2 linked regions of the Rattus norvegicus genome follow. The protein of the gene in region 2 purifies or fractionates together with the protein of the main gene of each other region. This does not show direct contact. Links are inferred from orthologs where the notes say so. Each region holds a gene or a part of one and is shown on either strand. Other genes may lie near its edges.

Region 1 (4,125 bases), on a different chromosome or scaffold from region 2:
GATCCCCGGAACCTCATTGGTTACCATAGTAACTCTGCACCCCAGCCTCTCCGGCTTGGCCACGGAGGAAGGCACAGCCAATAAGAAGCTGTGGGCGGTTTGGGGGGACCCCCCCTGTGGTGTGGGCGGGGGTCAGGAGGTGCGGGGAAGAGGCGGAGCGTGGGCCACGGAGGCGCGGTGCCTGTAACGGTGCTTGTGCCTCCGCCCCGCTATGCAGGGACATTTCCGGTGAGCACCCAAGAGCTGGTGCACGGTCCCCTCCCTCCTAGAAGAGGCGTCGCCAACATGAATTGAGCCCTCCTTCATGTGGCGTATAGGATTTTTTTTTTTGAGGGGGGTCTCAAGCCGCCGGTTCTCGTGATATCTCTCGAATGGTGTATTGGAACAGTTTAGGATCCCTCAAAACTGTTTAGATGGGGGGTGGGGGAGTTGAGAGGCATGTCCCAAGGGGGCTTTGTCCAGCTACGTCCAGTGGAGGGTTCTAGGGTCCTTCTGGAGACCGGCAAGTTCGGGGAGGGCTCTTTGGTAGGTCCTCTTCCCTGTTTCACATACTAGCCTCTTCAGAAGCCCAAGACATTGGGACTCCGGGAGAGGGGCGGACTGCCTGTGTAAACATGCGCACCCTCGAGTGTCACTGCTGGGACAGTGTTTGAATGTGGACGGTTTATGATATGCATACTGATAACATGTGTCTGGGGGAGAGTTGGAATTTTTCTCCCCAGTGAGTTCAAGTGAATAATGGTGCTCAGAAATGCCTAATAAAAGCCACCCTCGTCCGGCTCCGAACTTATTTACCTTCAACTCACGTAAGATTTCTAAAATCGCCCTCTCACAACATACTGTCAGTAGTGTTCCAACCCGATCCCCCTTTTAAAGATAGGGCCTCATGTAGTAGAGGCTGACCTTGAACTCCTGGTCCTCTTGCTTCCAACTCCCGAGTGAATGCTAAGATGATTACAAGAGTGCGCCACCAGCCCTGGCTTGAGTTCCCCATTTGAAGACAGAACCTTTTCCGAATTGGTGCAATATTACTTTTAAATATGTACTCGGAAGCACTCAGCACAAAACCCCAAGGTTTACGGGACTCCCAGGTCCGATCGATATCTGGGTCTCCAGGTGGGCACATCTGGAAGCGCGCGAACCTTCAAGATCTCCAGCTCAGCTCCGCATCTGCAAGCCTCCAGCCCAGGTGTGCGCCAGAGGTCGCAGCCCAGCCGTACACAGCCCCGCGCGGCCGCGAGGTGGCGCCATGGCCGCAGCAGCGTCTGCCGGTTCGGGCCGCTCCAGATAAGAGTGTGCGAAAAGCGCGGAGGGGCTGAGACGCGATCAGGACGCGGGGAGGACGGACCGGCAAGACAGACCGACCGGGGGCCCGGCGGGCGGAGGGCAGCGCACTGCAGCCACGTCCCCCCCTGGATCCGCCGGCAGCCGGGCCCGGGGCTTCCGACATGCCCCCCAGGTGGGTCCTGGAGTTGGCGACAGGGAAGGGCCAGGGACCCGGGACAGTCCGGTCCTCGCGCGCCGGCCGCCTCAGGAGCATCCTCAGGCGTGGGCGCCCCAGTCGCGGCTGGCGCTTGGGGCTCTAAGTGTCTTCCCTAGAGGACTCGGGATGGCCCGACTGCTGCTCGGCGCCGGGTTCACGGCGGGGTCAGCGGCCCGGGGCCGGCTCTGCCCGCACATGGGCTGGGGAGGAGAGGGGAAGGCAAGGGGAGCCGGCGGGCGGGGCTGGCAGGGGCGCTGCCCTGGCACAGCTCGGCGCCTGGCAGCGGGGCGGGTGGGGCGCAGGCTAGGAGCTGCCACCGCCTCAGGGAGGGAAGCCGGGCTGGGCTGCCGCCGCAGGTAACGGGCCGGCGAGGCCCTGCGGGCCAGGCGGGGAACAGGGGCGGGCGTGCTCGCCGGAGGGCAGGGCGGCTTTAGGTTTGGTGTGGGTCCCCGCGGCCACCAGGCTGCTGAAATTGGGGGCCCAGAGGAGAAACTGGGGGCCGGGGAGAGGGGCTGGGGCCGGCGCGCTCCTCCCGCCCTTTCTGAAGTTGGGAAAGTTTTCCCCAAGTTTGGGGCGGCAGTGTTTCGGGGGAGACGGGGCGGAGGGGAGCTGGGGAAGAGATGTAGAGCCGAGGCCCGGGCTGGGTCCAGAACGCGGGTGGGGCGCAGGCCAGGGTCAGGGCCGCAGCCGGCTGTGCGCCGTGCCCGCCCGGGGCGCTGCCCCCTCCCTCCCCTGGGAGCTGCGTGGCTCCCCCCTCCCCCCCACCTGCTTCCTGCCTCAGCCTCCTGCCCCGATATAACGCCCTCCCCGCGCCGGGGCCCGGCCTTCGCGCTCTGCCCGCCACCGCAGCCACTGTCTCCGCTCCCCGTGCCGGGGCGGCGGGCCCAAACGAAGGCCTGACAGCCCCCGGCCAGGGCGGCGCCTGGATGGGCATCGTGCTCCTGTCTTCCTTATCACTTCCCCTAACCGGGGCAACTTCTCTCGAGGCGGGAGGCGCTTCTAAATCGGCTCCTTTTCTCCCCACTTGGGCAAACTTTTCGGCCCTGAATGACTTTTCCTGAAGCGGACATTTTACTTAAATCGGGTAATAGTCTCCGAAAGGGTCATTTCGCCCTAACAGATTTCTCCCTGGAAGTTCCCAGCACCCAGCTCCAGTGCCCAGGAGCATCTGGGTCTGGGACAAATAGGCTAACCTGGCCTCCTCTCCATCCACAGCCTTGATCTTCCTGCTCCTTCTGTCTAGGGCCAGCGGGCCTAGGCTGCCACTCCCGGAGGCCGCTGATCCTCCTCGGCTGCTGTTCAGGCCGAGGTGCTCCATGCCCCTGCTCAGCTGAGGGGAAGGGGAAGCGGAGGGGAACAGACTGGGTTGGGTTCAAGAGGCAGGGGCACTGTACTGCGTAGCTCTGACCCAGCTGGTGTGTGTCTCCCGCAGGAGAGTGTGCTGGGCAGACGATGCTGGACGCGATGGAGGCGCCTGGCCATTCGAGGCAGCTACTGCTGCAGCTCAACAACCAGCGCACCAAGGGCTTCTTGTGCGACGTGATCATCGTGGTGCAGAACGCCCTCTTCCGCGCTCACAAGAACGTGCTGGCAGCCAGCAGCGCCTACCTCAAGTCCCTGGTGGTGCATGACAACCTGCTAAACCTGGACCATGACATGGTGAGCCCGGCCGTGTTCCGCCTGGTGCTGGACTTCATCTACACCGGCCGCCTTACTGACAGTGTTGAGGCCGCAGCAGCGGCGGCGGTGGCCCCGGGCGCCGAGCCGAGCCTGGGCGCTGTGCTGGCTGCTGCCAGTTACCTGCAGATCCCTGACCTCGTGGCTCTGTGCAAGAAGCGCCTCAAACGGCATGGCAAGTACTGCCACCTGCGGGGAGGAGGCAGCGGCGGCGGCGGCTACGCGCCTTACGGGCGGCCCGGCAGGGGCTTGAGGGCTGCCACGCCCGTCATCCAGGCTTGCTACTCGTCCCCGGCCGGGCCGCCGCCGCCGCCTGCCGCCGAGCCGCCGTCGGGCCCCGAGGCAGCGGTCAACACCCACTGCGCCGAGCTCTATGCTTCGGGCCCGGGCCCAGCAGCCTCACTCTGCGCCCCGGAGCGTCGCTGCTCCCCGCTTTGCGGCCTGGATCTGTCCAAGAAGAGCCCGCCAGGTTCCTCGGTCCCCGAGCGACCGCTTAGTGAGCGCGAACTGCCTCCACGTCCGGACAGCCCTCCGGGTGCGGGGCCTGCAGTCTACAAGGAGCCACCGCTCACCCTGCCGCCGCTGCCGCCTTTGCCCTTCCAAAAGCTGGAGGAGGCCGTACCGACTCCAGACCCGTTTCGAGGAAGCGGTGGCAGTCCGGGACCCGAGCCCCCCGGCCGCCCCGACGGCTCCAGCCTCCTCTACCGCTGGATGAAGCACGAGCCAGGCCTGGGTAGTTATGGCGACGAACTGGTCCGGGATCGAGGCTCCCCGGGCGAGCGCCTCGAGGAGCGCGGTGGGGATCCTGCCGCCTCACCCGGGGGTCCCCCGCTCGGCCTGGTACCCCCGCCACGCTATCCCGGGAGCCTGGACGGGCCAGGCACAGGAGCCGACGGCGACGACTACAAGAGCAGCAGCGAGGAGACTGGTAGCAGCGAGGACCCCAGCCCACCCGGAGGCCACCT
Region 2 (3,510 bases):
CCCACAAAAGGCAGATCCTGGCACCCTCCTGGGTGAGGCTGCTTCTGGGGCTCAGGACCCAGGGAGCAAAGCCAGACACTGTGTCTGCAATGAACGCACTTAGCTTATGGTTCTGGAATGTCCTTTCTAGAGGAGCTGTCGACTCCATGGTGGAGGACCGACTCAAGTCCACTCAAACCCTGCACACAAGTGACCCCACGCATCTGGCTCAACCTCATGACGTGCCATTCCTAAATGGCCACTGCCCAGAGATTAATAGTCCCCAAACAAACACAAGCAAGGAGAAATCCCTGCACGGCTGCTAGCCAGAGAAGCACCTTGCCCATCAAGGCCTCACAGCAGCCTCCAATGCTGTGCTATGTTGGGGAGAGGCCTGTTTGCAGCAGCAGGTGTCCACCCTGCCCTAGGGACTTGTTGGTAGGTTATACCTAGTGTACACCCTAGTCAGAAATCAGTGGTAGCACATGCCTCTAGTCACAACACTTTGGAAGAAGAGGTGGGAGGATCTCCAGTTTGAGGCCAGCCTGATTTACATAGTTCCAGGATAGCTAGGGCCACGTGAGAGACCCTGTCTCAAACAAAAACTTTAGCCAGGACACAGGGCTGCTGGGCATGCCAGGAAAGTTAAAATCAGAGTGTCTGGAACTCAGGGCCTGGAGGAAGAAGGAAACAGCACAGCTCTCCGTGGGCATTCCTGAGCCTGGCACGGTGTATCCTGGTGATCACGGGCATTCCTGAGCCTGGCACAGTGTATCCTGGTGATCACGGGCATTCCTGAGCCTGGCACGGTGTATCCTAGTGATCACGGGCACTCCTAAGTCTGGCACAGTGTATCCTAGTGATCACGGGCATTCCTGAGCCTGGCACAGTGTATCCTAGTGATCACGGGCATTCCTGAGCCTGGCACGGTGTATCCTAGTGATCACGGGCATTCCTGAGCCTGGCACGGTGTATCCTGGTGATCACGGGCATTCCTGAGCCTGGCACAGTGTATCCTAGGTGATCATGGGCATTCCTGAGCCTGGCACAGTGTATCCTAGTGATCACGGGCATTCCTGAGCCTGGCACGGTGTATCCTGGTGATCACGGGCATTCCTGAGCCTGGCACAGTGTATCCTAGGTGATCACGGGCATTCCTGAGCCTGGCACAGTGTATCCTAGGTGATCACGGGCATTCCTGAGCCTGGCACAGTGTATCCTAGTGATCACGGGCATTCCTGAGCCTGGCACGGTGTATCCTAGTGATCACGGGCACTCCTGAGCCTGGCACGGTGTATCCTAGTGATCACGGGCACTCCTGAGCCTGGCACGGTGTATCCTAGTGATCACGGGCATTCCTGAGCCTGACATGGTGTATCCTAGTGATCACGGGCATTCCTGAGCCTGGCACAGTGTATCCTAGTGATCACAGGCACTCCTGAGCCTGGCACAGTGTATCCTAGTGATCACTTCATGTGTCCTAGATGGGGTGCTAGGATGAGAGTTAGAAACCTATGTCCCACCCATCCTGCTTACCAAGATACCGGAGCACAGCCTCCAGGGGCTTCCGTACTACCTGCTTCAGCACCAGTGGGCTCTGGGAAGCTTCGGGCAGCCGTGCTGTGCCTGCGTGAGGACAAGGGACTGACGATGAAGACCTATGTTCCCCAAGAGCCAGGCTACCTGTACCCCAAGCTGGATACCCTGCCTGAGTCTGGTTCCTGCTAGCCCCAAGAGAGAGAACAGGAGAAGACTCACATTCAGCCTTGATTGCTGCACTGTTGATGGGCATGTAGGGGTGGCGTGCGGCATGCCATGGGCGTAGGATCTCACGGCACAAGCGCCGGGCAATGCGTGTCAACTTGGTAGTATGCAGGTAGAAGGCCTGCCTTGTCTTCATGGCAAACTTGGGGCTCCCACTGCTCCGAGCTGGGATGCCATGGGGACTCTGTGGAATGGGGCACACCGCCCCAATATAGCACTGTGACTGGAAGCCAAGGACCTGAGGTTGACATGCAGCAGGTGACAGATAGGTATGGTGTGTCCCACTTACCATGTTATTGCGGTTTGGTCCCGGCCTCTCTCCATCTAACCGGGTTGGCATTTTCAAGCCACCATATTTCTTCCAATATGTCCAACAAGATGCGCAGAGGCGACACTGCATGTTAGGGGGACCCCAAGAATACCACTGGTAAGACTGTGTGGCTACGGACAACAAAGTTGGAAATAGACGGATTCTTAAGCAGAACCAACGGTGCAGAGCATCCCAGTGTCCCCACCGCCACCACAGCCATCCCACCCCTGGCTCAGGACCATAGTAGGTCCACCTTATACTCCTGAGGAACTCTTCCAAACTACCCCACCACCACTGCAGCCCCATTACGGTGAGTCATTCCGGGTTTGGGCACGGGGGCTTCAGGGGCCCCTTGAGCGCCACAGCCACGCAGTAGCATTCCCGTGGCCCTGCTGCCCAGGATGGGGGCCAGCCAGGTACAGCACTTACTGTAACAGCTCTCGCAGGCCCGACCGGCCCCGGGGCTCTGGCCTGGTGTCCCTGTGCCATTCACTACACTGGCCTTGACACTGTTGACGCTGATCTGGTTTGGGTTTGGCTTGTTACTGATGGAGGAGAAGGATCAGTCACAGGTGCCCTGGGGTGTCTGTATCCCCACAGATATCCCTGGTCCACTGTAGTCTGGCTGCCATATCCCAAAATATGCGGCACTAAACCCAGCTTGACTCCTGGGCCAAAAAAGTTTAAATCCTGCTCCCTCCTCCCCAGTGGAGCAAGCTCATGAAAGGGTCACTCAGGAGGCCGCCTGGCCTGTGTCCCACACCCACCTCCCACCCTCCACTGGCCCCAGGAATATAAAGGTAGGACTTACTAGTTGGGAATATAAACCTGCTTTAACTTGCTCTCTGCTTCAGCTGCTTTCAAACGTTTCTTTAAACAAAACAGAGGGTTAGGGAGGTCACCAAGCTGGCCAGGGAAGCTGGGAGAACACAGGGAGGGAGAGGCTATTGTTTCGCCATCACTGGCATCCTTGGGGAAAATTTTGCATGACCTTCCCTGGCCAGCCTGGGGCCAGAGAGTGGGGCTACCAGGCTGGCTAGGGGTCAGGAATGTCCCTTCCTCCCAGTCTGTGAGTCCTCTAGTGACCCTAGGTCCTTCCTCTTTTCTCTAGGGCTTAAGGGGAGGTCACTGGGAAAGAATGAACAAACATAATGTGGCTACATGGGGATCGGGAGAGTGGGATGGCACACCTGCTGGACGTATCTGTCGGTGGTCTTCCACATGTAGTAATACTCAATGATGCTGGTGAGCGACTTCCATGGGAGCTGCGGTGACAAGGCAGTCTGATGGGTGGCGGGAACAGGGCCAAGCTCAAGCAGGCAAGGGAGGAGCACGGCAGCGGCAGGGCGGGTATCACTTCAAGTCCCCCAGTGTTCAACACGGCAAGCCCACAGCGGGTGTGTGGCTGGCCTTCCCCTTACCCAGAAACCCCAAGCTAAAACAATTACCATTATGCC

The links. The genes of interacting proteins can lie anywhere in the genome.
Region 1: the proteins of Mta1 (region 2) and Hic1 purify together in Homo sapiens (affinity purification with western blotting; 3 studies listed by BioGRID). This does not show direct contact. The link is inferred for Rattus norvegicus from reciprocal best matches to the Homo sapiens genes MTA1 and HIC1.

What each region holds. Positions count from the first base shown.
Region 1 is NC_086028.1:60,514,638-60,518,762, reverse strand, and holds the start of Hic1 (hypermethylated in cancer 1 protein), read left to right. Parts: upstream 1-1,317; 5' UTR 1,318-1,459; intron 1,460-1,732; exon of another isoform or gene 1,733-1,839; intron 1,840-2,309; exon of another isoform or gene 2,310-2,530; coding exon of another isoform or gene 2,531-2,567; intron 2,568-2,915; coding exon of another isoform or gene 2,916-2,935; coding exon 2,936-4,125. UniProt on the Homo sapiens protein: Transcriptional repressor. Recognizes and binds to the consensus sequence '5-[CG]NG[CG]GGGCA[CA]CC-3'. May act as a tumor suppressor. Involved in development of head, face, limbs and ventral body wall.
Region 2 is NC_086024.1:138,030,915-138,034,424, reverse strand, and holds part of Mta1 (metastasis-associated protein MTA1), read right to left. Parts: intron 3,319-3,510; coding exon 3,244-3,318; intron 2,924-3,243; coding exon 2,865-2,923; intron 2,599-2,864; coding exon 2,483-2,598; intron 2,185-2,482; coding exon 2,033-2,184; intron 1,928-2,032; coding exon 1,738-1,927; intron 1,606-1,737; coding exon 1,516-1,605; intron 1-1,515. UniProt on the Homo sapiens protein: Transcriptional coregulator which can act as both a transcriptional corepressor and coactivator. Acts as a component of the histone deacetylase NuRD complex which participates in the remodeling of chromatin.